Linked DNA regions of Tamandua tetradactyla. The protein of the gene in region 1 purifies or fractionates together with the protein of each later gene. This does not show direct contact. Links are inferred from orthologs where the notes say so. Each region holds a gene or a part of one and is shown in the gene's direction. Other genes may lie near its edges. The genes, in order: USP25, KLHL9, BTBD9 and KCTD10.

Region 1 (7,839 bases):
ATACAATAAAGTCTCTTTTTCCACAGAGATTTCTAGTGAATAGAACTATTTGATGGTCCATCACAAGTCAAATTTATACTTAAAAGTGAGATTCTGAAATGATCTGAAAGTTGTTACATATATTGATTAAATGTAAATAGACATATTCTTTTAGATATGAACTGTAGAATGACTAGGATAAATTAATGAACTTTCTGTGCATTTTCGGCAGACTAGTAGTCATGGAACTTTGCTCTCTTTGTTGACAAATACAGAATATTAACATCTGATTTTTTGTTTCATAATCCAAATTGTTAAAACATAATAAAGTTCATGTCAGAAACTCAGGAAGGGCTTCCTAGTATTCCTCTTCCTTACTTCTTAATGCTGCCATTATAATCTTAGCAGCTGTGATTAAGAACAGAACTAGACCACTAAGAGTTAAGGTGTTCAGTACCATGGCGTGGCTGGTAATCACACATGACAACTTAAATTTCAATTTTAATTAATTGAAAATATTAAAATTCAATTCCTGGGCGGGCCACGGTGGCACAGGAGGCAGGAATGCTTGCCTGCGATGCCAGAGGACCCGGGTTCGATTCCTGGTGCCTGCCCATGTTAAAAAAAAAAAAAAAATTTCCCCCCAAGTTAATATATAAATGTAGTGAAGCCTCAATAAAAAATTTAACAAAAAAAAAATTCAATTCCTAAGTTGTGCTAGTCATATTTTAAATGCTCCAAAATAGTCTGTATGTGACTAGTGCTTACTATGTTGGGCAGTGCAGATAATAGTACATTTCCATCATCACAAAAGTTCTATTGTAAAGCACTTTTTCATAGAATTTGAGTTCTGTAGCAGTGAGAAGATCAGAAAAGTAGTAACACTTTATGGGAGGGAGCTGGTTGATTGAGGGGAGAGGAGATGGAAAAGTGGAGTGGGAAACATTTCCAATCTCCTTACTGAGCATCCCTCTATTCATATCTGCCTTTCTATTTTTTTTTTCAATTTTTCAATTAAAAAATAAATATAACAATGAACAACACAAACGTTCTTAGCATATGATCATTCCATTTGCCTTTCTCTTTTAACAGCATTTTTAATCTTCTGATGGCCTAATTTTTTTTTTTTTCCAAGCCATTCAGTTTGCAAGTTTTTCAGTTTTTGTATAACAGCTTTTTCTTTTAGTTGTTTCCATCTGGTCATATTCTCATTACCTCTTCTTAAACTCTTGCTCAACCCTTTAACTCTTCAGTACAGAAACAGAGTCCTGCTCATGTCACTCCCTTGCCTTAAGAAATCTTTGCTGGTTTTAAAAATAAACTGGGCTTTTTTTTTTTTTTTACAAGTCCCTTCCCTAGGAAGATAATGAAAAAGGTGGAAGAACATTGTTTTTCTTCCAGAATCCAAATCTTTTGTATAGAGAATTGTAGTTGAACTAGGTTATGGGTTATATGGGCTTTTGTGAACTAATTCGGAAACTTTATTTCACTTAATATAATATTATTATGGGAAAATAAATTATGAGTTATACATAGCATGTACCTTTGAAGTCTAGTTCAGTAAGTTGATGACTGCATTTATTTTTGGAGTTGACTGATAAATATTTGGTAGTTGATTTTTAAGCTAGTACAAAGGTATTTCCTTGGGAAATAAAATATTTATTATGGTGAGTTTTGTGTTTTGATGTTTATTTCTGATTTTGCAGAGAAAATGTTTTACTTTAGGCACTGTTGAAAATGTTGGAGATTACTGCTTATATGCTTTTGTAATGCTGCTTATATGCTTTTGTAACATGAATTTTCTACAAGTGTTATCCAAAAGTAACGCTTCCACACATGCATCATTGAACTGTGTTACACTGATACCAGAGGCAGTGGTGTTTTACCAAGAACCTACCCTGACACAGGTATAAGAGTTTCATAATGCTTTGGTATTTGAATGGGACTTTTACAGAGGCATTTTTAGTTAGCAGTTGTTTATGGCTAGCCTTATTTATTCTCTGTCCCTTTTTGAGTATGAGCATATAAGAAAATCATGGGATAGATTTCATTCTAACATTGTTGCAGCATTCCTTGTTTTAGAGAAATCATTGCTTCATTATTTCCAGAGAATGAATTCAAGTTTAACCATTCTGTATGAAAAAACATTTTGCACTTTCTTAATATATGGTCTTAAGAGCAAATGTTTTTGGTATATGAGTAAGGTAATAATACGTTTCTTTCAGGCTTGTTATACTAATGTGAAAAGAAGCAGCTCTATGGAGTAATGGAAACATGGGAAAAAATCATTGTTGATTATAGTGAAACTGCAAATAATGAACTTCTACTGCTTAAAGTATAAAGTCCCATCTTGTCAGTTAAGAATCAATAGTCCCTTGTCTTCTCCCTGCAAGGCCAGGGCAGATAATATCAGTGTGTGTGGCAGGTTCTGTGTAAGACAGTAGGTTGGGTTGGAGATGGGGGCAAAAAAGAGACGGAATATTCTGTCTCAAGGAAGCTATTGCTTCTTAATTTTGGCTTTAAAGCACCATGGTTTTTGCCATGTATGAATCATGTGGTCAGGGCTTTTTGATCTTAAGACCCCTTTACAGCCTTAAAATTTATTGACTTCGAAGGCCTTTTGTTTATATGAGTTATTTTGGTCAAAATTTGTGGTATCAGAAATTAAAACGAAAGTTTAAATTATTCGTATTAAAATAATCCATTTCATGTTAGCATAAATAACACATTTTTAAAAATTAATTATATTTTTATGAAATAAATTAGGGGTATATTATTTTATATTGTTGCAAATCTCTATTGTCTACCATAATAGAAGATAGCTGAAGTCTCAGATATGCTTCTGCATTCATTCTGTTGGGATGCATTGTTTTGATTAAAGTATATGAAGAAAATCTGGTTTCATGCAAATATAGAGTTAGAAAAGGGAGCAGTACTTGTTCAGATAAAAATATTCTTTCTTAATTCTATATTAGAACTTGATTAGTTGCAATGTGTAATCAGAATCACATATATCATCTTTTCTTACTGTTACGTTAAAATCCATTGTCAGTTTTGCCCTTTGAATAGATCTTTTGCCCATGCGTGATTTTTTAACATTGTGCATGTTTATTGGAAAATATTTTCTTCCAACTGTTGGATAAATATCTATGGTCTAAAAAACATATCTGTTAATATCATCACTTATCTCACCAGATTAAGCCTTAAGTGTTGTGGAGACATCAAGCATACTGGCAGAGGAAACAAGTTTTCCAAAGTTCAGATTTTTGCTTTAAATCTGGAAATTAATCATTGACAACAAGCACTCTCATTTGTTTTCTTTAAATTGAATGTGTTACGTTGTCTGTTTTCGAGAAAATGTTTTCCTAATACTCAAATCTGAACAACTATAGTTTGTAGTTTTCATGGAAGTAAAAATGGCGTTCCATGAAAAAGCAGCTAGTTCACCTTGTACTCACACATTGTACTAGTGTTTTTTTGTTGTTGTTGTTAGAAATTCACATGCTCTAGATATACAGCAGAAGTAGTTTATACATACTTTCTATTGCAACACATAGACTTAAAAGAACATGTAAGTCATAATTTAATAAAATTGATTTTTGCCTTTTCATCAAGAACATTCTTTGGTGAAACTGTTTTGTTTTGCTTTTTAATAGTGAGTATGCATGTATGTAATACAGTGGATACTCATACAGTTTGGTGCTTCTGCCTTTATTTATGCTAAGTTGCAGCAGTTTACCTACTATTGTTTTTTATCATCTGTACATATGTAACCACAGGCACAGAACATCTTAATATTATTATCCCATCCACTTAAATGTAAGGTAATAACAGATATTTTTCTTTTTTCTTTCTCTTCACATTGTTTTGTAACCTGTTACCTCTCTCCTACGTAATAGTTTTCCACGGTCCCTATCATTGTTTAAATGACAATGGGAATATTTCTTATTGTCATTTTATGAGTTAAAAATGTTGATCAATATATATTAGAAGATTGGCTTAAAAAGAAGTTTTATATAAGGTGGTAAAAGCTATAGACTTTATTTTTTGTAAGAAGAAGAGTAGCATTAAAGCTACTTAACTTTTGTTGAAAGAGGAACAATTTCATTTATTTGTAAATTTCTTTGTTTTCACCTGAAATAAAAGTTTTGTTTGACATAAAAAGGACTGCATGATATAAAACAATTCAGATGGGGCAGAAGTATTTAAAATAGGAAATGAAAGTTCTTTACCTTTTCATAATTATCTTCATTGAAATTAACCACACTTAACAGTTTGACATTTCGTTTCAGAATTAAAAATTGTATATATAAGCATATATCTGTGGTCAAGTAGTTTCTGAAACAGTTTTCAAGGGCTCAGTTGTTAATTATCATAATTTGTTAAATAATGTTTAAGTGGTAGTGTAGACAAATTGTAATGTTAATGTCTTTGAAAAAATAGTTGCTAAAGCTGATGAGGTATTTAATTGTGTACATTTGGGTTAATTTTAGAACTCATAGATATAAATATTTAGTTGTGTTGATTTCAATTTTTGTTGGTAAGGAAAATGTCTGCTAGTCTTCCTTTTAGCTTCTAGTCAGAGATCATAGAGTAAATCCTGAGATTCTTCTGCAATGAAGAATATTTTTGTTGCTTCAGATATATTTTAAAGAAAAAGATTAATTAAAGTATAACCAATTTAAAATGTTTTCATTCTCTTCAGAGAGGCTCTTATAAAGAAATACAGAATTAAGTTGATATTGACTTTGGTTCAATAGCATATATTTGATATTTGATAAGAATTACTTTTCATTTTGTTTGACTTTTAATTTTGAGAAAGATAATTTTGCTTTTCAGATGTCATTGATCTCACTGGAGATGATAAAGATGATCTTCAGAGGGCAATTGCCTTGAGTTTGGCAGAATCGAACAGGGCATTCAGGGAGACTGGAATAACTGATGAGGAGCAAGCCATTAGCAGGTAAAAAGTATAATTTATATAAAGCAAATGTAAATACTATAACGGAAATAATAATTGGCTTTAATTTTAAAAGGCAATAAGATATACTTTATTACTCTAAACAACTATTAATATACTTCTATATTACTTTTATGTTTTATGTAACCAAAATTTTCATATTTTAATTCTGATTGTGATTGAAACTTTACTTTTAGGATTTGAGAGTAGTCTTTTAGAGGATTAAATTTAAGACTGTGTTTTAATAATTCTCCATTTTTTTCTTCCCTTTAGTTCCTTTTTGGATATACTGACCAATTTCAGCTTCCAGTCATTATTAACAGGGGTGTTTACTCTTAAGGACCAAGAGTAAATATTTTAGGCTTTGGTGGGCCATATTCATTTTGTTGCATAGAGGTGAATGAGCAGGACTGTGTCCATTAAAACTTAATTTATAACAACAGCTGCCCGCTGGGTTTGGCACCTGGACTGTAGTTTGCTGACTGGCAATCTGTAGTATGTTTATAGAGTATTTTCTTTTTAAGAAATCCAAGCTGTGTGATATAGTGTATTTTTTAAAATTTAATAGCCTAAACTTTTCACTTTGAAGCAGTTTGATTCACCTATGGATCAAATAGATGAATTTGGTTTCATCACTAAGAAATGTTTATTCTATTTTATTTTTTTTATTAATTTAAAAATTTTTTTTAAAATACCAAAAAAACACCAAACGCAGACATTCGCAATTTTTGATCATTCCATTCTACATATGTAATCAGTAATTCACAATATCATCACATAGTTGCATATCATCATCATGATCATTTCTTAGAACAATTAAATCTATTCAGAAAAAGAAATAAAAAGAAAACGGAAAAAAATTCATGTATACCATATACCCCACCCCTCCCCCTCACTGATCACCAGCATTTTACTCCAAATTTAGAAATGTTGATTTTAAAAAAACGCTTTAGATTATAACTAAGTATAATCTTCTAAATAGCTGTTGTGGGCAGTGATAATTCTATTTTACTGAAGAAGAAATTTAGCTTAAGAGGTAAAATGATTTTCTAAAGAAGCACAGCTCATATGGATCTGTTCGCTCCAGTGCTTTTTCACTGTAACACAATAGGTTAGTAGCAGAATGTTCTAGTTTTCTCAGATAATATTGACACCATATCAATAGCAAATTTTTTTTCTAAATAATCTGAGATTACTTTATGGTAGGAGATAACCTTGAAATGCTTCCTTTAGCAAAGTCATATTCTTTATAAATTTTAATTTTACTTTTTAATATCTCTAAATATTACTTTGGAAACTTGTAAGACATTTATATTAAATGGGAAGATGTAATTAAAATTTGTTGTCCCCCTTTGAATTGTAGCTAATATCATTTAATTTTAATGTAAAACCAAAAATGTGTAGTCAGTCTTTCTTGGGCCATTTTAATTAGTTTTATTTTGTGAAGGGTGGATAAATTATATAAACTAGATTTTGACTTTTTTTAAGAAGTGAATGGAATGAAATAATTCTAGAACAGTTATATAGCCTGACAATGTTAAACTTTGATGACAAATATTTTAAACATGAAATAAATCAGTTGGATTTTATATTAAAGAGAAATGATGATGTTATGTGAAAAAGAGGTTATAAAATAGAATAGACTATGTAATATGCAATTCTTTTTTTTTTTTTTTTTTTTTTTTTTGGTGCATGGGCAGGAACTGGGAATTGAACCTGGGTTTCCGGCATGGCAGGCAAGAACTCTGCCTGCTGAGCTACTGTGACCCGCTCAGCAATTCTTATTTTAAAGATTATGTGCTTATTTTTGTTTATATGAATTTATATTAGCATAAAATAGAAAAAATTCTGTAAATGTATGTACCAAATCAGCAGTTCTGTTTTGTGTGTTCTCTAATAATCTGGAAACAGCATGTAATAGAGAATAAAAGGCAAAGCTAACTTCAGAGTTGAAAGATTAAGACTATTTTCTAATCCAGTATTGTTTATTCTAATCTAATACATATATATTGTTTGAGATCCTCATTTTTGCTGGATTGAAAAGAAAATCTCTAAAGACAGTGCTCTTTTTCATTCATTGTCTTTTAAATTTTAACTTACTTTAGTTAATCCATTTTTACTAATATTTAAACATTTTAAATAGTTAAATCAAAATATTAATTGCTAAAATAGTAAATATTTAAATATCTTTATTGTACATGATGTTACAGAGATTCAGCATCCTGTAATATTACTGAGATTACTGGATAGTAAAGTTAAATCAATATGTATGAAGTTAAATCTATGTGTATATTTAAAAATTTGTGACTAAATGTTAAATACAAAATGTGTGGTTGATAAGCACATATATAAATAATATTGTAGCAGAAAAAAGAATGTGAAAATTTTAGCTAAAAATTTGGCAAAGAAGTATTGTTCCTGTGAGTTTTATTAAAGTATAGTACTCTTAAGTTCAAAAGTAAAATAAAAATACTTAATCTATCCTAGTCTTATATTAATATAAATTAAAAAGCTAAAGATGAAAAGAACCGTTTCAAATGTATATACATCAAGATGCCAAGGTTATTATAAAAAATGTACTTTAGTTATAAATGGTAGATTATGTAAAATTAATTTTGTGTCAGCTTTATTTGCTTTCAATGAATTTGCCCAAATCTAATATTAAACATTGAAAAGACTCAAGTTTTAATGACAAAAAGTTCTATTTTCCCTATTAAAAACCGGTTTTATTTTCCCTGTTAGTACATAATACCCTGTTTTTAATGCACAACTTCTTTTTAGGATAAATTTGAATGTATGGATGATTAGGTTTATTTTACACAACAGTCATAAGACAGACTTTTAGTACCCATATCTGAAGGTAATTAAATATGTATTCAAATTCAACTAAGATCCAAGAA
Region 2 (7,811 bases), on another chromosome or scaffold:
GTTTGGGGCTATACAAACAAAGCTGCTATGAACATTCCCGTACAAGTCTTTGTGTGAACATATACTTTTGATTCTCTTTTGTAATTATATTGAAGTGGAATTGCTAAGTTGTATGGTAGTTTACCATTTTAAGAAACTGCCAAAATTTTCCGAAGTGGCTGTACCATTTTCATTCCCACCAGTAGTGTATAAGAGTTTCACTTACTTCGCATCCACATCAACAGTTGGTATGGCAGACTTGTAAACTGCAACCATTCGAAAGTCCTAGTAGGGGTAGCTCATAGTTTAAAGTGGCACTTTTCTGATGACGATGTTGAGCATCTTTTCAGATGCTTATTTTGCCTTTCATAGAACTTCCTTGATAAAGTATCTCTTCAAATATTTTGTCAGTTTTTGGGAAGTTGTTTGTAATCTTACTTTAGAGTTGTAAAAGTTCTAAAGTTCTAAATCTAAGTACTTTTTTGAATAAATGTGTTTTCTAAGTCTGAGTCTTTTCATTTTTATAACAAAATTCAGTGAAAACATTTATAATTTTGACTAAGTACAACTTATCAGTTCTTTTGTGGATTTTTCTTTTTATATTATTTCTAAGAAATATTTGCCTTACCAGTGGTCACAATTATTTTTTTCTTTTTGACATCTTATGGTTCCAGGGTTTGTAATTAGGTCTGTGGCCCATTTGAGTTATTTTAGTAGATGGTATAAGGTACAAATAAGATTCTTCATTTTTTTGTATATGAATGTCTACTTGTACCAGCACTCTTTTTTAAAAAATATTACCCTTTTTTAATTGGATTGCCTTTACACCATAACTGAAAATCAATCAACAATATATGTGTGGCTCTATATCTACATTCTTGTCAGTTCCATTGATGGTCTAACTTTACTCCACAAATAAAGGAATCTGGAGGAAGAGAGGGACACATTGGTTGGTGGTGGTGACGAAATGATATGGTGAATGTCTGTTTTTCAGTCTTCAAGTTTCTTGCCAGAATTCAGCTGACTTTTGTCAGCTGGTCAGCTCCCAAGAGACAGGTGTTCTAGTTTCAAACTATTTTATAGAGAAAGACCTATAATATTCTTGTATAGGTCAATATTGAGAAAATGAAGGAATCATTTTTTTTTAATTTATTAAAGTGCTAACTCTAATAAGGGATTATCCTAGGTGCTTTAAAATGTACCTGCATCAGTTCTAGATGTTTTTTTAATCTCATTTTCTATTTGAGAGGACTGAAGCTCAGAGAACTTGAGATGTTTCCGAGCAGATTGGGGGTTCCAAGCAGAATCCCATGAGGTGAGTTAGGGAATGAGGCTCTAAGTTTTGTATTTTGGATTTCTGTGATTTTTATAATCTACTTTTTACTTGCAGAATTATTCTCCTTCTCCCTGGGCTACTGCTGCTGCTGTTGTGTGTGTGTGTGTGTGTGTGTGCATGTACGTATAAGTATAGCAATGCTTGAACATTTAGAAGAAACCTTGGTTTAAAGTTCTGCTTTTGCCATCTTCAGATTCTTAATAGTTTTATCTTTGAACTTGTGTTTTATGAGTAAGTTCATGGGAAAATGGAGCACGCAGATGAGCATATGGAGATGGTCAGACAGCAGTTCTTGCATGTCCTAGTCTTTGTCTACTATTGTCTTCTGGAAAGAGAATGCTTTGCTAAGTAAGTTTAGGGGAACACTAAAGATTATGGCTTCTTGCCCTGCTACTCACTTTAAATATACTCTTCTGGACCATCTCATACCAAGCTGGGGCATCAGCACATAAGCGTGGCATCTCAGCATGGTCAGCAAAAAGGAAACCTTGAGGCTGACAACTCTGCTGATCTGTTTTCTCTTCTCTGATGGTCCAAACATTATGGCACTGAGTAAGATAAGGTAGTTCCATAGTCAAGACAGGGGGTGGATCACCTGGCCTACAGACTGAACACACAAAGCTATAGGGAAACTGAGTCAACAAAGAGGGAATATGGCTAATTCTCTTTTGGCTAGGCTAAAAGAATGGATCTTGTGTTCACAGCTGGAGACTGTGATACAGTAATGGCAGGAGAGATCTCCTTGAAGACCAGATGCCACCAGCACATGTAAAAGGTCCATCATGGGGTGGGATGCTCACAATGTCAGAAGGATATCTGAAACATTCTCATAGTTTCAGACACTAGTAGGGAGAAGACGTAGAAGGAGGAGTCTCTGAGAGATGGAGCAATTTTATCCAAGATAAACTAAAAAGCATTTAAACAGAGCATTTGAAACATGGGATCAGACTAAATTTAAAATAAAATTGGGTCCTCTGCCTGGTGCTGTTGCACACCAGGCCAGGCTCTCAGCTGCTCAAGAACAGTTCTGGCTGCTGCAACCAGTGCATGTGCCCCCTCCAGATGGCACTTAGCAGGCGTTGCTCAGTTTCTGAATTAAGAGTACAGATAACCTGCCTACCAGCACCAGCTGTACAAAGAAACTCTGGTCAGTTTGTCTTGATGACAGGTTTGGCTTAGCTTTTCTGGGACGTGATAATACCCATGTTGAGGTTAGCATGGCCAGTGATGGATGTGAAGTACATCATTTTGATCTTAATGTAAAAATAGTTCACATTCTGTAGAGTTAGCACCTTTGGTATCTCTGCCTGTCCATGGGCTGCCCATCCTGCTGTTGCTGCCCTGAAACACCAGAAAACTGGGAACCATCTTGAAGAAATTTAGGCATCACAAGATTGATATTCTCAGGACAGATCTGGAAAGTGCAGAATAGAATGTTTTGGGAAATCTTTATTTTAGAAGATGACCTTGAACAGATTGGACAGCTCATCTTCGAGATCCATCTCCACTGGCCCAGGTTCAAGGTCAGTGGTAGGGACAGCAGTGTCATGTGCTTTTGGTACAGACTCCTCTAAAAGTTGGAACAATAGGATGTGCCAGGCTTTTTCACAGTTATAAAGACATTTAAACCTCAGCTATTCCTGAAGAAGACATTTTTAATGCAAGTAGTAGTTATAGTCTGAGTTGGGTGAATATGAGATGGAAATAGAATGTGGGGGACACATCAAGAACCCAAGGAGATATTTGCAGAGTGGAGCATGTCTTTGGTTCTAATTGTCTGTTTAGTTGCCTAGTCTCCCACCAGCCTGCTGCCTTCTCACGGCAGGGATTATGTTATCACCTCTGTTGTGCATATAGCCTGGTGTCTGGCATGTGGTAGGAGCACAGTAAATACTTGTGGAAGGGATAAACATGGGAAATGCTGAGAGAGTCGAAACCGCTTACCCACACCCAAGCTCTTTGCCTTTTTGCTTTTGAATTGGAATTACTGTACCAAAACATGTTTCTAAAATTGGAACTACTGTACTCTAAGAAATACTCTATTTGTGAAGTCCATTTGTAAAGCCAACATCAATCTCAGTCTCTTCAATAATGATCATAATTTTTATACCATGAAAGCATTGTAGCATAGCAGTAAAGAGCAGAGGCCCTAGAATCAGACAATATGAGTTTGGATCCCAGCTCTCCCATTTCACAGTTGGAAATTAACCTTCTTTTCCCCTCAATCTTCTCATTTTAAAAATGGAAATAAATTTTTCCTGTAAAATTGTTGTGAGAATATGTAAAGCATGTAAAACGCCTGGAATTTAATAAGTCCTGAATATTTTTCTTTGACTATTTTATAATTGGAAATCTCTTTTGAAATTGCCATATCTTTAGTGACTAATTAAGTTGATTTTTTCTTTTTCTTTTTTTTTGCATGGGCAGGAACCGGGAATTAAACCCGGGTCTCCAGCATGGCAGGAGAGAATTCTGCCGCCGAGCCACCATCCCACCGCCCTAAGTTGATTTTTTAAAATCTATTAACCATTTGTCTACTGACATTAAAAGAGCATAATTTCATGTTGTGGAAAATGTTGGAAGAAATAGTGTCAACGTGTTCATTCATTTGTATGCCAAAATTTTAACTTACAGTCACGTATAGAAATGCAAATTAATAAAATACCATAAAGGCAAAAATCGGCGGCGTGGGGGGGGATGCACACTCCAATGTTGCTGGAAACAATAATTTGGAAAGATTCATTATGTCTTCAACTAATATCCTACTGTTAGGATTTATCCAAAACCAGGGGAAAGTTTTGAGCCCAGATTCTGTAAGTTTATTACAGATTCTATACAATGCACAAGAATGTATAGACCCAGAAACAAATATTAGGCAAAGCTAACAATAGCATATAATTGTTGGAAAATTGTGTAGCCATTTAAGAAGTTGAGAATGAAAAACAAAAGCATGAAAACATGATGGAATTGGGAGCGAAAAACTCGATATATTATTTACATAGTATGGGGACAATTTAGTTTTCAGACAGGCAAATTATATGTGTTTTAAATGATTTAAACCCGAAAATATGAACAAAATTATAACTGAAGTGGCAGTTAAATTGTTTGGGATAAGAATTACAAAAGTGTTTTATAAAGAAAAAATATTTAAGCCTCCTCTTCCCCAACCCCTCCTCTACGAGGTTTCCTTTCAATTTACCGGAGAGCCGTGTTTCACTGTAATTAACACGACAGAAACCAGGAAGTGTAAACCTTAAAGAAAAAGTATGCATTTGGAGAGAGAGTTCGGATGCCGCGAGAGATGTATACGAAGTGCGGTATAATATGCCCGCCTTAATCGAGTCCCTCCAGAGGGGCATTTGCGGAGAGCCCGCTTCTCCCCGACGCCCTCCCCGCGTCCCGCGCACTTCCCCTCCCCTCCCCTCCCCCCCACGCCCGCCCACCGATGAGCTCAGACGGATGCGCAGCCGCAGTGGCTGCCGCGGCCGCTCCTAGCCCGGGGCATCCTGGGATTCTGCCTTTGCGGAAGGACTGGCTCAGTGTCCCGGATTAGGCCCGTGTTCCAGGCCCAGGCCGGGAATTCCAGGCTCTTGTTCGGAGATAGCCCCGCAGGCGCGGCGACGGTCTGGTGACAGCGGAGGGCGCAGCCGGCTGCACGCCGAGGTGCCCGGCCTCGCCGCTGAGCGAGCCGCGGAGCCTCTGTACGTGGCGGCGCCTCCCCCTTGGCCTGGAGCGGAACTGCTGCGGGAGCGGCTTCGAAGGCCGGACGAGGTGAACCGGGTCATTTAACTGCCGTCAGGTGATGAATCATCAGCATAATATTCAGATTTGAGGTCCGCATCCCTTTGTGGTCCTGCTACAAAGCAGTTTTCAGTGGATGACTGACAGAAGTGTCCTGAGGGGCGCCACAGTGACTGTTCTTGATAAAGAAAGAGAGCTCTCCCGTTTCTTGGGAGACAATCTTGATTCCTTTAAAACGTTGAGGTTACTGCCTCTTTCCGGGAGACATCTCTCTGTGCAAGAAGGCGGCTTTCACATGAAAGTGTCACTTGGTAACAGCGAAATGGGTGTTTCTGCCCATTTGCAGCCTTGCAAGCCAGGAACCACACGGTTTTTTACCAGCAATACGCACAGTTCAGTGGTATTGCAAGGTTTTGATCAACTTAGAATAGAAGGATTACTTTGTGATGTGACCCTGATACCAGGTGATGGAGATGAAATCTTTCCTGTTCACAGAGCTATGATGGCGTCTGCTAGTGATTATTTCAAGGCGATGTTCACAGGTGGAATGAAAGAACAGGATTTAATGTGCATCAAGCTTCATGGCGTGAACAAGGTTGGTCTGAAGAAAATCATTGATTTTATTTATACTGCAAAACTTTCTCTTAATATGGACAATCTTCAGGACACACTTGAAGCTGCCAGTTTTTTACAGATTTTACCTGTTTTGGACTTCTGCAAAGTATTTCTTATATCAGGGGTCTCTTTAGATAACTGTGTTGAAGTTGGACGAATTGCTAACACCTACAATCTTATAGAAGTGGATAAATATGTTAATAACTTCATCCTTAAGAATTTTCCAGCATTATTGAGTACTGGAGAATTCCTAAAGCTCCCATTTGAACGGCTTGCCTTTGTGCTTTCCAGTAATAGTCTGAAGCACTGTACTGAACTTGAACTCTTCAAGGCTGCTTGCCGCTGGCTAAGGTTGGAAGACCCTCGGATGGATTATGCTGCAAAATTGATGAAGAACATCCGATTTCCACTGATGACACCACAGGACCTCATCAATTATGTGCAGACAGTAGATTTCATGAGGACGGACAATACCTGTGTGAATTTGCTTTTGGAAGCTAGCAATTACCAAATGATGCCATATATGCAGCCAGTAATGCAGTCAGACAGAACTGCCATTCGATCTGATTCAACTCACTTGGTTACATTAGGAGGAGTGTTGAGACAGCAGCTGGTTGTCAGTAAAGAATTACGAATGTATGATGAAAGGGCACAAGAGTGGAGATCTTTAGCCCCCATGGATGCTCCTCGTTACCAGCATGGCATTGCTGTCATTGGAAACTTCCTTTATGTAGTTGGTGGTCAAAGCAATTATGATACCAAAGGAAAAACTGCTGTCGATACAGTTTTCAGATTTGATCCTCGGTATAATAAATGGATGCAAGTTGCATCATTAAATGAGAAGCGCACATTTTTCCACTTGAGTGCCCTCAAAGGGCATTTGTATGCAGTTGGTGGGCGCAGTGCAGCTGGTGAACTGGCTACAGTTGAATGTTACAACCCAAGAATGAATGAGTGGAGCTATGTTGCAAAAATGAGTGAACCTCACTATGGCCATGCTGGAACAGTGTATGGAGGCTTAATGTATATTTCAGGAGGTATTACACATGACACTTTCCAAAATGAGCTCATGTGTTTTGACCCAGATACCGACAAATGGACACAGAAGGCTCCGATGACTACAGTCAGAGGTCTGCATTGCATGTGTACAGTTGGAGACAAGCTCTATGTCATTGGTGGCAATCACTTCAGAGGGACAAGTGATTATGATGATGTACTAAGCTGTGAATACTATTCACCAACTCTTGACCAGTGGACACCAATTGCTGCTATGTTAAGAGGTCAGAGTGATGTTGGAGTTGCTGTCTTTGAAAATAAAATCTATGTCGTTGGTGGATATTCTTGGAATAATCGATGTATGGTAGAGATTGTCCAAAAATATGACCCTGAAAAAGATGAATGGCACAAAGTTTTTGACCTTCCAGAGTCACTTGGTGGCATTCGAGCTTGTACCCTCACAGTTTTTCCACCTGAAGAAAACCCTGGGTCACCGTCTAGAGAATCACCTCTTTCTGCACCTACAGATCATTCCTAGGAGTAAGGTGTAATACTTTTGCAATGGATCATGGGTGATCTCATATTTCTTCTTTGGTTGTATCTCTTCTTACAGTGATTGGTACAGTTATAAGATAAAAAGGTAACTGATGTTCTCTGTGTTGTTTGTCTTAGTATATGTAGGAAATGATTAACAAGTGTATTCTGAAAATGTATTCAGTGTAGCCAGCTGTTTTAACAAATGTAAAGAGATGTGTTTAGAATGTTTAGACGCCTTTTTTGTTGTGCTGTATAAATCAAATCGGAGGTTATTGCAGTAAATGAATGATTATGTGCATTATGTATCAAATTTGAAAGTTTTCTTTTCATCTTTGACTGCAAAATATCAAGGGAGGCAGACTCTGCAACTGAAAATAAGCAAAAGGTTGCCAAGTATTTTTAGCTACCTCCCTCTTTTCAAGGAGTTTTGCCATACTTTATCAAATCACCAGATTGTGTGGGCACATTCAGACTATGTGAAGTTTCTCAGCAGACAAAAGAAATAGTAAATTAAAAAAAAAAACAAAGCAGTTTAGCTCTAAATCATGGATCTTGTATCTGTGGAGAGAGAGAAAGGTAGATGGGGGCTACAATATACTAAATTAAC
Region 3 (7,036 bases), on another chromosome or scaffold:
ATTACAGTTAGGCAGTATTGTGCTATTCATTTCTGAACTTTTACAATCAGTCCTGTAGTACCATCACTAGTACAGTAAATGCTAAAAGAAAGGTGGGCACATACTACTAATAGTACAGAGAAAGGCCACTTAAACTTGCTGAGGAATCCCTGAGGGAAGGTTTCTTGGAGAGAGGCTACCTATGCTGGATCTAAATCTTGGTCTACTACTTAAGTGCTGTAATGACCTTGGCTAAATTCCTTAAGCTTTATCATTGTAAATTTTGTATCCCCATCTGCTAAAACAGGGATATAATGTCAGCTGTTGATACAGTAAGGTAATGTTTGTGAAATTATGTGAGATAATATAATAAGAATTAGAGTAGCAAATATAACAGAGCATATAATAAAAAGTATTATTTTCTTCTTGGACTGGTTGAAAAGTAAATAAATTACTTTTGCATTAAACTTTTACGTCTGTCCATTTTTTCCCAATTAATTGCTTTATTTAGTTTAGAAAGAACTGTATATACATATTCATTCAGATTTCAAGAAAACTACCTGTGAGAACTGTTAAGCAATCAGCTTAGCACATACAGCTCCCTGGTCTTTTTCATTCCCATGTAATGGCCTATAGCTTTGTCTATTTTTTGAGGCACATTTTACCTATCTGACAGAGTAGGTAAGTACAATACTTAGATTTCCATTAGGCAGAACTAAATGCTCCCTCATCTATAGTCCATTTCATTTTATACAGAATTCTAGTATAATTATAGTTCCTTTAATCTATATCTTGCTTTGTTTCAAAAAGTACTTATTGTATCTAGTTAAATATTTATATGTTTATCTCCCTTCCTAAATTGTGTGCTTTTTAAATAACTGTGTTGTATCCATAGTATCTGGTCGGAAATTGGCACATAGTATAAACTGGCTCTCAATGTTTGGTAAAATGAGTAGGATTTGAAGTGTGCTTTTATAAGCAAATGAATTTAACATAAAATTGGGGGATTATTCAGGAATTACTGCGAAAATGATACGACTCAGCCTGATCATTTCCTTTGACAATGAGAACACCAAAGCCCAGGAAAGTTAAGTGATTTACAGAAGGTTATCTAGCTTTTTAATGGCCAGAGCCAAGACTAGAATCTCAAACTCCCACCAACCAGTCCAGAAGACAATCTACCATATTGGCCTGCCTTATCAGATCCCAGCAATTTGCCCTCTATCTCCACTATACCAGAGAAGCAGCTACTCTTGGTCACCAATCACTTTTGTTGCTAAATCCAGTCAATGCTTTTCAGCCCTTGATATAATTGACTCTGACTCCCTCTTCACCTTTAAATTTTTTTCCCTACTTTGGCTTTGAGGCATCTGCACTCAACTTAGTTCCCCTTTTATCTTTCTGGCCACTCTTCCTCAGACTTCTTTGTGGGCTTTTGCTCATCTTCCCAGGGTTCTATACTTGATCTCCTTTATTATTTTTCCTATGTTTTCTCCCTGCTTGATCTCATTCACGTCTAAGGCTTAAATTATAGGCTAATATCTTCCAAATCTATTTTATTTTAACTCAGACTTCTTTCTTCATTAATAGAACTGTGTAGTTTGGTTGCTTCTTGTGTATTTACAACTGGATGTATCAGTTCTATCAAGCCACAGTCACACTGAGAGAGGCAAATAAATTATACTTTTCTTTTACACAGAGAATACAGGAGACTAACTACCACCTTTACTACTGAATATAGTAGTTTCAAATTACCACAAACTTGGTAGCTTAAAACAATACAAATTTATTATCTAACAGTTCTGATTGTCAGAAGTCCTAAAAACAAGGTGTTAGCAGGACTACATTCCTTCTGGGAGCTCTAGGGGAGAATTTGTTTCCTTGATTTTTCCAGTTTCTAGAGTCTTTCTGGTTTCCTGGGCCTTATCTTCAAGATCAGTAGCACAGCATCTTCAAATTTCTTTCTCTCTGACCTTTGCTTCCATCACATCTCCTTCTCTGACTCTGATGTTCTAGTCTCTCTGTTATATAAGAATCCTTATGACTACATTGTACTCACCCAAACAATACAGGATAAATTCCCAATCTGTCATGACCCTTTTGCTATGTAGAGCAACATATTCACAGGTTCCAGAGATTATAAAGTGTACAACTTTTGGGGCCCATTATTCAGTTTTATCACAACTGACAAAGTTGCTATTGAATATTATTGCAGACAGAGAACTTCCTAATGCCAAACTCTGAAACTAAACAGGTTTAGTCATTGCATCAACCTGGATCAGGAAGCCTCACTTTCAACCCCAGGCCCTACTTCTAGAGAAGCAGAAGAAAACACCACAACAGCTCCCTGAAGGCAGCTTTCTTCTAAGAGGAAAAGAAGGGAATTGGCTGTGTATAGTTTCTCCTTTCAAATTCACCAGTCAGGAAGTCACTCTGCCCTAAGAGAGTTGGGGGCAAAGTACTGTGAAAAGTCAGTATTGTACTAATGGATGACGTTCAACATGGAAGAAGACATCTTGAGTGGAGAAGTGTTTCCCCAACAAAGATATCCGTATTTGAACTCATCATCATACCCCAGAAATCTGATCATCCTTCTAGGAATGTCACCATCACTATCTATAATTTAGATAAGAAACATGTGAATAACCTAGACTCATCTTTATTCCCATCTTCCTAAATGTTACCACCATATATTCCAACATCCATTCTAGAAACTTGGCCTGCTCATTTATCCCCCACTCAGTGATGTCCATTCAACCACCATAATAGCCCTCACATTGCCTCCTCAACATTTCCAGGGTCAATGCCTTGGTTAAGGCTCTTATCACTTCTTGTCCGGAGTACCACAAACAATCCCAATCGATTTCCCTGCCTAAAGCTTTGTTCTTTCTGTCCACTTTCACTTCTGTGCCTTTATTCACGAAACTTCCCTCTTCCCTTGCCTGGAATGATCTCCTTTCCAATTACTCCTCCCACCCATCCCCCTACACACACACACACACACACACACACACACACACACACACACACACACACACACACACACACACACACACACACACACACACACACACCTTCCCAGCCTCAAGAAGAAAAGCCTGGAATGATCTCCTTTCCAATTACTCCTCCCACCCATCCCCCTACACACACACACACACACACACACACACACACACACACACACACACACACCTTCCCAGCCTCAAGAAGAACTGGCTAAAACCGGTCAGCGCCACATCTGAACCCAGGTTTCTCTGATTACAAAGTCCATACTCTTAACCTCTCTTGCTCGATTGCCTTTTCTTATAATAAAAATTAAAGTCCAATGGGCTTTCCAATTTACGAGGCCCGCTTGCACCTTGCTTCATTTTAGCTTTACAATGCTCCTATGTTGACAAAACGCATATTATTATTCCCACTTTAAAAAATGAGGAAACTAAGAGTATGGGTGATTAGACGATTTGCCTAACACCGTTGATGATAAATTGCCAGGGTGGGCGCGAGTATCCAAATTCAAGGCTCTGTCCATCATAACCTGCTGCTAAATTAAGGAGTATCACAACATATTAACGAGTAATATTAAAGGCGCACTCAGCCCCTCTCCTGGTCCTTCTGTTTTGAGAACTTTCTTGCGTTTTGCTGAAGTTGCCGATGGTGTCGGCGTGAGTCTGGACGAGGCCTCGGCTCTCTCCACCACACCAGCCCTGGAACATCGCGGTGACAATCACGGTGGGGACCTTTCCATGCGCAGTGACGCACACCAGTGACACCATACAGTGACGTGTGGTGACGTGACTTACCCGGGGGCAGGTGCCAGCAGGTCAACCACACCCGAGGGCCCCCTGCTCCGTAGGGGTAGAGGGTCGGACCTGTAGGGAAAAGCCGCAGAACACCGCCTGAGGGAACTTCTGCGCTCTAAACCCTCAGACCCTGCCCGCCCACGGTCGAGCGGTTGCTAAGTGACGCCAGCGCGCAGAGGCGCGTGCGCGGCCACGGCGGTGTGCGTGAGAGCGGACGCGCGCCACGACGGTGGCGGCGGCGGCGGCGGCGGCGGCGGCGGCGGTGACGGTGACGACAGCGGCCCGGGGGGCGGTGGCTACGAGGAGGGCACGGAGCAGGCGGAAGAGAGATCTGTGCCGGCGGCTAGGTCTCAGAGGAACATAGTAGGGGTGAGTAGCTGGGGGTCTCGCAGGGTTGACAGGCGCTGGCCGCACCTGCTACCCAGACCCGGGGCCCGGGGACGCGCGCCTACTTCGCACCCGCGCGCGCCGCTCCACGCCCCTCTGCCGCTTTTCCGGGCGCGAGGAAGGAACGAAGACGGGGGCTGACGAGGGTCAGTTTCTGACCCGAAGGCTCTGGGAAGCGGTAGCAAGGGGCAGATTCTGCCACCTTGGGTGGAGGGGAGGGAAGTAAGGTCTGGGAACTTTAGGGTGGCTTTGCTAGGCCCCCGACCAGAAGTTCGAATTAGGAGAAACCCTAGTTTTTAGCAAAACCTCGCATCCTGCCTGAGATAAGATTGTCCAGGACCGAGAGGAGGCGGAACCAGGGACACTAAGGTTCGGGTTCGGAAAGTTGGGGACTATTGGGACCTTCATCATCCCTGCCCTGTCTGGGTCCCGAGCAGGAGCTGGTTGTTATGGAGAGTTGTGAATCACTGACTGTGTGCAGTCTTAGACACGCCCACGACTGGGCAAGGCGATCTGTCAGTATAGGCGGCCAACCTGTTGCCTGGTTTCCAAGTTCACATGTATGTGCACGTGCTTAATGCTCGCATAAAACTTTATCTGTCATATTGTCATCACGGATTTTGAGTTCAAGGGACCCATATCTATCCTCATTTCTTACTTGCTCATAGATTGAAATCTATTGTTTTATTTCTCGTTTGTCATTTTTAGGGCAAACGAAGTATGGAAGATCTTTTCTCTCTCTTCCTCAAAGTAGTATAGATTTGCTATTTAGTAGTCAGAAAATACAAATTATGACCAACCTATGGGGTGGAAAATAATCAGAGAAGCTTGGGCGTAAAGGTTCAGTAAGCCATCATCTCTACTCAGTGTATGGGACTACCCTGTGGGTAGATGTGTGGTAATTTTAGCTACCATCTTTGGGAAGGAAAAGTATTAAAGATGGGAAAGAAACCAGTCTTCTCATTTTCTGTTGATTAAGGCAACAAAAAGATAGGGTGTAATGAAATTTAATCATTATTTATGCAAGAAAATTGAAGAAAATGACTTCAAAATTTTATTCAGCTCTAAAATTCATGATTTCGTTTCATAACTAAGAATCTGTAAAATATGTTGCCTAAGTTCTTACATCATAGAACCATAAAAACTCAGCTCTGTAATACTTAGAGTTAGCAAAATTCAATGTCTCTTTCTTTCTGGACTATCACACTTTGAGGACAGGAATTACGTCTGTTTGTTTTCACTGCTGTGTCCCCGGTACCTAAAAAAGTGTTTGGCACAGAGTAGGCATGCAATAGATATTTGTTATGTATCACATTGTGCACAAATGGCGGGTCCATGTGTAGAAAGCATTTATTACAGTCAGTACTTAATAAATGTGTTCCCTCTATCTAGTATTATGCTAAATGTGGGAGGATTGTAAGATTACAAATGACAGAGAATACCTCACTTTTTTCCTTTAAAACCAAACAGTTGGGTGCACAGGTGGTTCAGTGGTAGAATGCTTGTCTGCCAAGCTATTAGAATACCTGGATTTGATTTCTGGCCCATGCACCCAATCAACAAACAAACAAACAGTCTGGCTGGGGGAAAAAAGCATATTTATATAAAAGAATTTAAAAAAACATATAAGGTAGTGTGTAAACAAGTGTCAGATTATGAGGACTATACTTTAAGTGCAGTAGAAATTCAGAAAAAAAGTAAGAATTGTGTGAACTGAATTAGGGAACTTTTTGGAAGTGGTAGGATTTGAACTTATCTTTGAAAGAAGTATAAAATTTGAAATACAGAAGAGAAATCGTACATTGAGAAAATAGTGTGAATTTGGCCATTGGGGATTATACTGAGGAGAATTATGTGTCAGGTACCTGGAGCAAAAGTTCTATGATAGGGCAGATAAGGTTTAGCTGGTTGGGAAGGGAAAGTGATAAGGAGTAAGACAGACTTGTCAGCATCTCACCCATCACAAGATGGAGCCTCCCTGTAGGGTGAGATGGGGATTGCTTTACTCAGAGTAAAGTCTTGGATGAGAATAGGTGTTATTTTTAAATGAAATTCAAGGATATTATGGTTGAACCAGAATCACGCTGTGTACTTTTAACTTCAACTGCTAATTGGAATAAATACCTCACTAATGTGCATGTATCTTATATATTTAGTCAGTAGTGCACGTCCTAGTTTCTAAAATCTGCTGGATGTCCATGGGCTATTCCACTGGAAATTAAATGAAGTGTTGTACCAAAGCAGTCAACCAGCCACAGCTCAGTGACACAGATTTGCTTGGATAATCTCTTAACAGCAACCTTTGAGGTTCATAGTTACTACTGACTCTGTTACAAATACAAATAATGCTTTTGGGAAAGAAATGTATCTGAAGAAGGGTACTTAAACATATTGACAAAAAGATAAACAGATTTTAGAATAATTAAAGTGCTGCTGCTGTATATTGAACCCTTGGTCTGTATTTATATCATCTTATGTATAAATTACTTTGGTGCATAAACATGAAGTTGAATTGCTAACCTAAGATTTATAGCAATGTGTATTATTTAACAATTCAGCAAATATTTATTGAGAGCTGGCTATGACTATTGTGGTAGTTAGATTCAGTTGTCAACTTGGCCAGGTGAAGGTACCTAGTTCTGTTGCTGTGGACATGAGCCAATGGTACATGAACATCATCTGTTGCTCATTACGTCTGCAGTCTTAGAGGCGTGCCTGCTGTAATGAATGATGTTTGATTTAATTATCTGGTGATTAAATGAGAGAGCTCAACATAGCACAGCCCAAGCAGCTCAGCATACCTCATCTCAACACTCACAGCTCAGCCCAGGGCTTTGGATATATGGAAAGAAATCACCCTGGGAAAAGTT
Region 4 (7,937 bases), on another chromosome or scaffold:
CACAATGCACTTCTTTTACTGGACTCAGTGTCATCTGCTTTAAATAACTCATCAATCTCTCTCCTAGGAAGGGGATGGGTTAAAAAAAAAGATATTTTAATTAGGAGCTCACAGTAGCTGGAAGGTTTTTCAAGCACTCTTAAGTGAAAACTCACATATTTACTGTTAATTGAGAGCAAGAGAAAAATACACTGAGGAGCTCCAGGTACCCACCTGATTTCTCTCTGCAGCTTCCGCCGACAGAGAAAACTCCGGACATGGGCCTGAATCTCGACAGCCGCCCGCTCCCGCTCCTTCTGTACGAGCCTCTCTTCTCGGGCCTGGCGGGCTCTATCAATGAACCATGCTCTCGAGGTTTGTGATACGGTGAACATGTTTGCAAACCTTCCACAAACCCTGGAAGGAAATCAGCAAGTAGCTGCTGTAGAATGTTATATGGAAAACACCAAAAGAAGAGGGCTCAAGAAAAGAAGGTGGGCAGACCTGGGCATCAGCAACGAGGCTCTCAGGACTCTCAGTAGTCTCCAAGGTTTAACAGCTCTCCTGGCACAAGTCTCAACTTCCTATTAGCTCCTTTCATGCAACTCACCAAGACCAGGGATGCTTTATCCAGGATTAAAGAATTGCATTTTCTTAAGAGAGAAAGAGCCTGTCATGCCAACTACATTCCAGCCAAGACTACTCCTGGTTCACTGTCTTAAATGTGTCCTAGCACATCACCTGACATAGGGTATGTGTTCTGTAAGGTTTAACGGATGAATCAATCACACCGATAAAGCTTCAAACCAAGTTCTAAGTCAAAGGCTCCTAGATATTTGATTTTCCTCAAGCAGTCAACAATATTTGCAAAGCCAATACTGGGCAGTCAAAGTCTTTATTTTTTTTGCCAATTAAAGACTTTGGGAAAAAAATCAAACAATTTTTTTCTGTCAGGTTGAAAACTTTGTCATTCAATCCTAAGTCCACTCTAGGTCCTGCTTGAAAAACACTGCATTGAATTATTCAAAAATCCAGACTTCCAGAAAACAATCTCTTTACCAGGTTATTTCATTCAAAGCAGCACCCACATGAAAACACCAAAAGAATAAAAAAGCTCGTGCTAGGCTACTCCCACATCAACATGTCGAGAAATCTCTGTGGCACCTTTTCAACACTGAAAGACAGTTGTGAACAACAATAGGGCTTTTCCAAGATGCGGATCTTTCATCAGAATTCTCAGAGTAAGATAACAGAGCCCTGACCACAGAAGAGGCAGTAAGAAGACTAGGGAGGAAAAGGTGGTCTTCTGAATCATTTACTCTTTTTTGCCCCAACAATGTAAACCTGGAAAGCTTACCTGAGGATCTGCCTGCGTTGCAGAAATGCCAGGTAATCATTAGTGATCTGGCACAGGACGCACAGCTGAGGACAGCTTCTCACTTCAGAAGGGCTTGTCTTCTCTGGCAGAAGCAAAAGTAAAATTCTATGTTTAGGACTGTTTTACAGGTGAGGCATCATATATCTTCCTCACTGAGTAAAAGTAATAAACGCAGTGCTTGTTTTCAAAATAACCCTTCTGTCTTTTTTAGTTAGCCTCTCACTCAACTTTTAGGACTGTGTGCCTGCAGTCCTCACAGGTCAAAGGGAACGGGTTGAAAATAGTCCCAAATAAAGTGGCTTCTTTTTCAAAATCTGAATTAAAGCTTTATATTCCTTGTGACAGCAAGCAAGAATAACACTTGGGGGCAATGGAATGTTTAAAAAGCCATTTAAAACTATGTTTGATATTTTTAACAACATGGGAAAATTGTTTAGGCTTTAGAAGTGGAAAAAAAAGGGCTGGTTATGAATCAATGATCCCAATTAGATAAATTAAGTGAAAGATGCATGTGTATACATAGATACACGACTAGGATGAATTACATGTTAAGGGTGGTTGTTTGGGATGGTAGAATTGTGGTACATCTTATTTGCTCACTTAACTGGTCTCTTATTTTCTAAATTTCCCACAGAAAGGACAAGATGAGGCAACATGGCACAGTGGTAGGTACACAGGCTTTGGAGTCACACAGAGCTAGAACCAGTCCCTAGCTCTGCCAAGTATGGTGGAGAGACGTCTCAGAGTCTTCCTGTCTTCTGTTAATTGCAGATAATAGAAGTTAGCTCAATTACAAGGCTAATGAGATGATGAACATCAAATGCCTATTGAGTTAGCCAACAGAGGCAGACAGTAAATAAGTCTGATGTATTATTCTTATAGACACAGTCTTGTTTTTTTTTTTTTTAATGCTTCAGCAGAGGCTCCCATCTACACAGACACTCGGGTTCTTTGAGTAGGAAATGATGCAGAACCCCCCACCATTCCTTGCCCCATCAATTTTTTTCTATTTCTGGGTACACCAAAATTCACCAGCCCCATTGCTTGAGCTCATGAACCCTAGCCTTTGTATTAGACTTGGTAAAAGCTTCAGGTTCCTGAGAGTTGCAAAAGAACTGAGCACAAGTCACAAACACAATGGTGTGCTCTTACACACACAGTCCCTCCATGGTGGGGAAAGTGAAGTCAAGGGGGAAGAAGGAGCCTCCTCCAAATGGAAAAACAGGAGGTTGCATGCAAGTTACGAACAAGTACCTTTAAGACTATCTCAAAACCTTCACTTCTTCCAGGGGGCCTTTCAGGATAAGATCCCTTCCTTCAGATTATTAAGCCCTCAGCAACACTCTATTTTGGTTTCTATTTATACCACCCAACAGTCTATACTGTGCAGTGTTTCTAATTATTTTTTATTTATCTCCTCAAGCCACATAGCACCTACTACAATTCACCAATCAAATAAAACACACAAGTATCTATAAAGTACTTACTCTGCTAAATACCATGGGGAATGACAGACAAAGGCTTTGTGTAGTGGAAAAAGCCTTGGATCAGCGAGTGTAGTCCTTGGTTCTCTTTAGTCCTGATTCTACCTCTTATTTTATCAAGTTTCTTATCCTTTCTAGGCCTCAGTTTCCTTATTTGTAAATGGAGGGTAATAATATTACCTACCTCCTAGGGTTGCTAAAAGAACTAAATGAAGTATTTACCCTTTTTCTACTTCAATTTAGTTACCACAGTACTGTGAATAGAACTAAGTGAAAATATTGATAAGGGGAATCTGAAAGTATAAAGCATGAATGTGAGCTTTATTATATTGTTCTCAGGAAGCTTAAGAAAATCCAGTTGGGAAAACATGAATTACATAGGTGGAAAAATTAGGAAACAAGATATTGGCAAAGGCCAAAATCATTTGTAAAGCAAGAGGAAACCAAGTTGAGTATTCATTATGTGTCAAGACCTTTTTGAGTGATCTCATCTATTAAGAATGGCAACCCTGTGAGATCATTTATCTCCCTCAGTCCAAGTTAAACCACTAGTGGTGGCAAAGTCAAGATTTTAACACCTATCTCTGAGGACAGAACTCAGATTCCTCTCTGCCTCTATATTCCCATGAGAACTGCCCAAAATAGGCTTTTCTGGGTCCAAATGATTGTGGATACACAGAAATGAGGCCAACCTTATGGAGAACTACAAAAGAGCATGGAAGTCCAGAAAGTATTGTTCAAAACGGAAGTGCCATAAATAACAACCGCTGATTGAGCCCAAGAAGAGACTCCCTGAATGGTGGGAATAGCTGGGTAGCCAGATTTATCCACCACGATTTAAGGGACAACCATGTACCAGACACCATATAGATATTTAACCAACCCTGTCTTTTCCACAGCTATCAGGTCCCAATAGTCTTTTCTTTTTTATTATTATTAGGTAACAGGGTTTAGACAGACTATTATTAATAGCTATCATTTAATGTAGACGACAGTCTATCGAGGTAGGTACAATTATCATTTATATTTTCTCACGGGAAAAAAAGAAATGCAGAGAGGACATGACTTGCCTGAGGTCGCCGGGCCCTTGAATTTGAACCCACTTCTGACTCTAAAGCAATTTTATTTATTTACAAGTGCAACAGACAAGGCTCAGAGACTCCCCCACTCATATAATAGCAAGGCTGTCCCTGGGATCAAATTGAAGTCAAATTACGATCAAGTCCAAAATGTTCTTTATTGATATCATTAACAGCTGTCTTTATTGAGCACTGTGTGCCTGGCACGATACTTAAAGCGTATTACGAACCGGCTATTACCCTACATTACAGAGGCGGAAACTGAGGCTCAGAGTGGTGAAGAAATTCGGCCAAAGTCACACAGCGTATAAATCAGTTTGAACTCCGGTTTGGGTGTCTCCTGAGACCTGGGGTTTTTCCTCGGCATCGAAAAGCACAACAGCAAATCCTTTTCTGTATTACGTTTATAAAGGGTTATTGCCCCGGAGACCACACGAGGTGGAAAGGGCCGCGGAAAGACTCCCAGGAGCTCCAAAACCACCTCCCAACACCTGCACCTCTGACCAGGCAGGCGGGGACCGGGCCCTGGGGCCAACTCCCTTTAAATCTCCGGCCCCACGGCCCGGAGTACGCCGACTCTATTCCCACTCGCTACCCGCCAGCCGTAGACCTTTACCCGCTCGGGAACCCCGCGCTCTGGGTCGGAGCTGCAGCTCCCGTCGCCTCAGCCCGATCCCCCCGAGTTCTGCCAGGCCCGGGGCCGCAGCCGAGGTTTGGCCGCCATCTTGCCCCAGAGAGTCCGCGCTCAGAGCTCCGCCTAGACGCAAGTATCCAATTCCGGGAGACTACAGTTCCGCATAGCCTCTGTGCCCGGCAAGGAAAATACTCCCGGCACGCCATCCTCTTATCGGAAACTGAAAGAGAGGAGCATTTAAGAGTCGGAAAAAATGCCTGAAACGAGAGGAGTGGGATCTATTCCGGTCGGGAAAGCGGGCTGGAAAGCGGCCCATGTCTAGGAGCACAACGGATGCTTTAAGATGGTGCCCTCAGCGGGGCGGAAGTGGGGTGGGGACAGTAGAGGGGCCCGCCTCGGCCGCGCCTCCGCTCCGGCTCGCGCGAGCTGGGTGTTTCCTGCCTCCCGCAGTCCGGGTGTGGAGACTCCGGCGTCCTCCGACTTTTCATGGTGAGGAGGACCGTGCCCACAACTGGGGGTCCTGGCTGGCCGAGGGAGCCTAGCAGTGGCAGAGCAGAGGGGAAAGGGACCGGGAGGAAAAGGCGCGATGAGGGGCGGTCGCGGTCACTGTAGGGGAGAGGCAGTTGGGGAATTGGATGAGGGCGAGGCCGGGGCCGGGGGAAGGGCTTTGGTGGGGAATTGGAGTCTCTGCGTTGGGGATCCGGAAAAGGGCGTTTTGATTTGGAATATCAAAATCAAATTTTTCATAGGTGGGTGGGTGAGGGCGGCGTCTCTCAGTCTTGCGTGCGTGTTGGAGATGGAAATTGGTGGGTGTGAGGAGAACAAAGAGATGCTATTGGAGACGCGTTTGGGGGAGTAAAATGAGGATTTGGGCGGGGGGAAGTTATGGAGAAGAAAGGATGGGTTATGAGAGAGTGAAGTGGGAATCCTTGGGGCGGAGCTGTAGGGGGTTTTAGAGGTTGTAGTAGGAGCGTCAGGGTTTCAGGGAAGTGGATATTGGAGTTCCAGGTGAGGCTGGAACATATGGATGAGTGGATTGAGGGAGTCGGAGGGTGGGTGGCGTTCGGTGCTTGGACCCCCAGGGAGAGATGCCAGGGGCCTGAGGTCAGTCTTTCGTCCCGAAATCCGGCGCCTTAGTTGTGTCCCGTATATCTATCTAGTCGCTTCCGGTGAGGCTCCGTGTGGCCATACCTGAGGAGCTGAGAATATTTTACATGCTGTCTCAGCCCTGGGAAGGTTTGCTTGGGGCTTTTCAAGAGTCTGTTCTTTGAATAGCTTGTCGTCCCTTAGTGGGAACAAGCAAAGGCCCGCCCGGATTTTCTTTTTACTTGTTTTCTCAGAGTCTCTTACTTGGGAAAGTGCATTCTTTCGGGAAGGTGAGTCCCAGAAAAAGAGTCAACTTGAGACGACTTTGATTGGTCGTCTTCATTTTGTACAAAGTAAGGATTGTTAGAGGGGAAGGAGAAGGCATAAACCAGTGGTTCTCAAAGAGTAGTCCCCAGATCAGCAGCACCATCACCTGGCAACTTGTTAGAAATGCATATTTTCAGGCCCTACCTCAGACTCCTGTATCAGAAACTCCCGTGAAGCCCAGAAGTTTGTTTTAACAAGCTTCCAGGGAAAAAAAATGATTTCCTGATCTGGACTATGTAATGAAAGGATCATGAAATTTGGAGTCAGAGGCCCCTTATTCTAATTCTCATTTGAAAAGTTGGATCGATGGTAATGTCCTCCTCACAACACCATTTGAGAATTAGGCTAATACATTGTGTGCTGCACACAGGAAGAGAATGTTGCTCAGCAGAACATCTGGAAATAAGAATAGCTGTCATATAAGCAGGTTTTGGATGCAAAATAATGCTGTAGTTATGTAGCTAATATTAGTTTGGTTAAAATGGAACAGAGTTTTCTGAGTTGTAGAAATGCTGTCACCAAAGTGAGTTTTATAGTTAGCCTCCAGACAATGTCTCTTACACTTCCCTGCTGAAAGAATCAGCTGAACTCTTTTTTTCCCATCAATCTCTCATGATTCTTAGATCAAGCTGGGTAAAGAAACACTTTTAGCTTAGTGATGCACAGCCCTGGCTGCATGATAGAATCACCTGAAGACCATTTTAAACACTAGCTACTGGGCTCCCCATTTTTATTCAGTTGGTTCTGGGTGAAGCTAAGGCTTAAGTATTTTTAAAATACTTAACATGCAGCGAGGCTGAGAACTGGTTGTAAGGAAAGCTTGAGGACCAGAAGGGAAACTGCGCCAAGGACTGTGTGCCAAATATTTTAACATTCATTCCCTGAGGGTTATAAAGATTATGGCTCTAAGACTCCAATTTTACAAGTTAGGAAACTGAGACTCAGGTTAAATTTCTTGCCTGAACTTCACACAGGAATTGATGAAACTGGGACTGCAGTCCAGGTTTGCCAGACTCTGGATTTAAGGATATTATGTAGAAAACATCTAAGGGGCCAGGGATTTGGAGCCTTTATATTCATTTTACTTAACTGGGTTTCCTTTGAAGTTAACTGTTTTTTTCTCTTCAGTGGGTTTTTATATTTTAAGCATGCATACAGTTACTCCTTGTCTTTGGCTCCTTTGTCTTTGTGAAGTAGAGGCTTACTTTTGTTTACGGTGCTTTGGTTTGTTTTTATATGTGGGTCAGGGATTACTTGTCGCCTTCTTAAGGGGAACAGAAGGGTTTTTTTGGGCATATTTTTTTAATTTTTTAAAAAAATATAACAAACGCAAACATTCTTAACTTTTGATCATTCCATTCTACATATATAATCAGTAATTCACAATATCATCACATAGTTGCATATTTCATCATCGTGATCATTTCTTAGAACATTTGCATCAACTCAGAAAAAGAAATAGACAACAGAAAAAAATTCATTCATGCTATACTCCTTACCCCTCCCTTTCATTGATCACTACAATTTCAATCTAAATTTATCTTAACATTTGTTCCCCCTATTATTTATTTTTATTCCATGTTTTACTTGTCGGTTGAAAAGGTAGATAAAAGGAGCATAGACACAAGATTTTCACAATCACACAGTCACATTGTGAAAGCTGTATCATTATACAGTCATGTTCAAGAAACATGGCTACTGAAACACAGCTCTACATTTTCAGGCAGTTCCCTCCAGCCTCTGCATTACATCTTGACTAACAAGGTGGTATCTGTTTAATGCATAAGAATAACCAAATCACACAGTCACACTGTGAAAGCTATATCATTATACAATCATCTTCAAGAAACATGGCTACTGGAACACAGCTCTACATTTTCAGGCAGTTCTCTCCAGCCTCTGCATTACATCTTGACTAACAAGATGATATCTATTTAATGCATAAGAGTAACCAGGATAGCCTCTTGACT

Evidence for each region.
Region 2: the proteins of USP25 (region 1) and KLHL9 purify together in Homo sapiens (affinity purification with mass spectrometry; 3 studies listed by BioGRID and IntAct, with this or other methods). This does not show direct contact. The link is inferred for Tamandua tetradactyla from reciprocal best matches to the Homo sapiens genes USP25 and KLHL9.
Region 3: the proteins of USP25 (region 1) and BTBD9 purify together in Homo sapiens (affinity purification with mass spectrometry; 3 studies listed by BioGRID and IntAct, counting the BioPlex papers as one, with this or other methods). This does not show direct contact. The link is inferred for Tamandua tetradactyla from reciprocal best matches to the Homo sapiens genes USP25 and BTBD9.
Region 4: the proteins of USP25 (region 1) and KCTD10 purify together in Homo sapiens (affinity purification with mass spectrometry; 4 studies listed by BioGRID and IntAct, counting the BioPlex papers as one, with this or other methods). This does not show direct contact. The link is inferred for Tamandua tetradactyla from reciprocal best matches to the Homo sapiens genes USP25 and KCTD10.

What each region holds. Positions count from the first base shown.
Region 1 is NC_135336.1:73,295,039-73,302,877, forward strand, and holds the start of USP25 (ubiquitin carboxyl-terminal hydrolase 25), read left to right. Parts: upstream 1-4,828; 5' UTR 4,829-4,942; intron 4,943-7,839. UniProt on the Homo sapiens protein: Deubiquitinating enzyme that hydrolyzes ubiquitin moieties conjugated to substrates and thus, functions in various biological processes including inflammation and immune response.
Region 2 is NC_135328.1:75,143,994-75,151,804, forward strand, and holds KLHL9 (kelch-like protein 9), read left to right. Parts: upstream 1-4,807; 5' UTR 4,808-5,192; coding exon 5,193-7,205; 3' UTR 7,206-7,773; downstream 7,774-7,811.
Region 3 is NC_135331.1:95,853,281-95,860,316, reverse strand, and holds the start of BTBD9 (BTB/POZ domain-containing protein 9), read left to right. Parts: upstream 1-4,036; 5' UTR 4,037-4,148; intron 4,149-7,036.
Region 4 is NC_135331.1:21,938,917-21,946,853, forward strand, and holds the start of KCTD10 (BTB/POZ domain-containing adapter for CUL3-mediated RhoA degradation protein 3), read left to right. Parts: upstream 1-5,040; coding exon 5,041-5,043; intron 5,044-7,937. Other genes in the region: UBE3B (ubiquitin-protein ligase E3B), read right to left, coding at 1-63, 214-396, 1,337-1,437, 1,963-2,013. UniProt on the Homo sapiens protein: Substrate-specific adapter of a BCR (BTB-CUL3-RBX1) E3 ubiquitin-protein ligase complex. The BCR(BACURD3) E3 ubiquitin ligase complex mediates the ubiquitination of target proteins, leading to their degradation by the proteasome.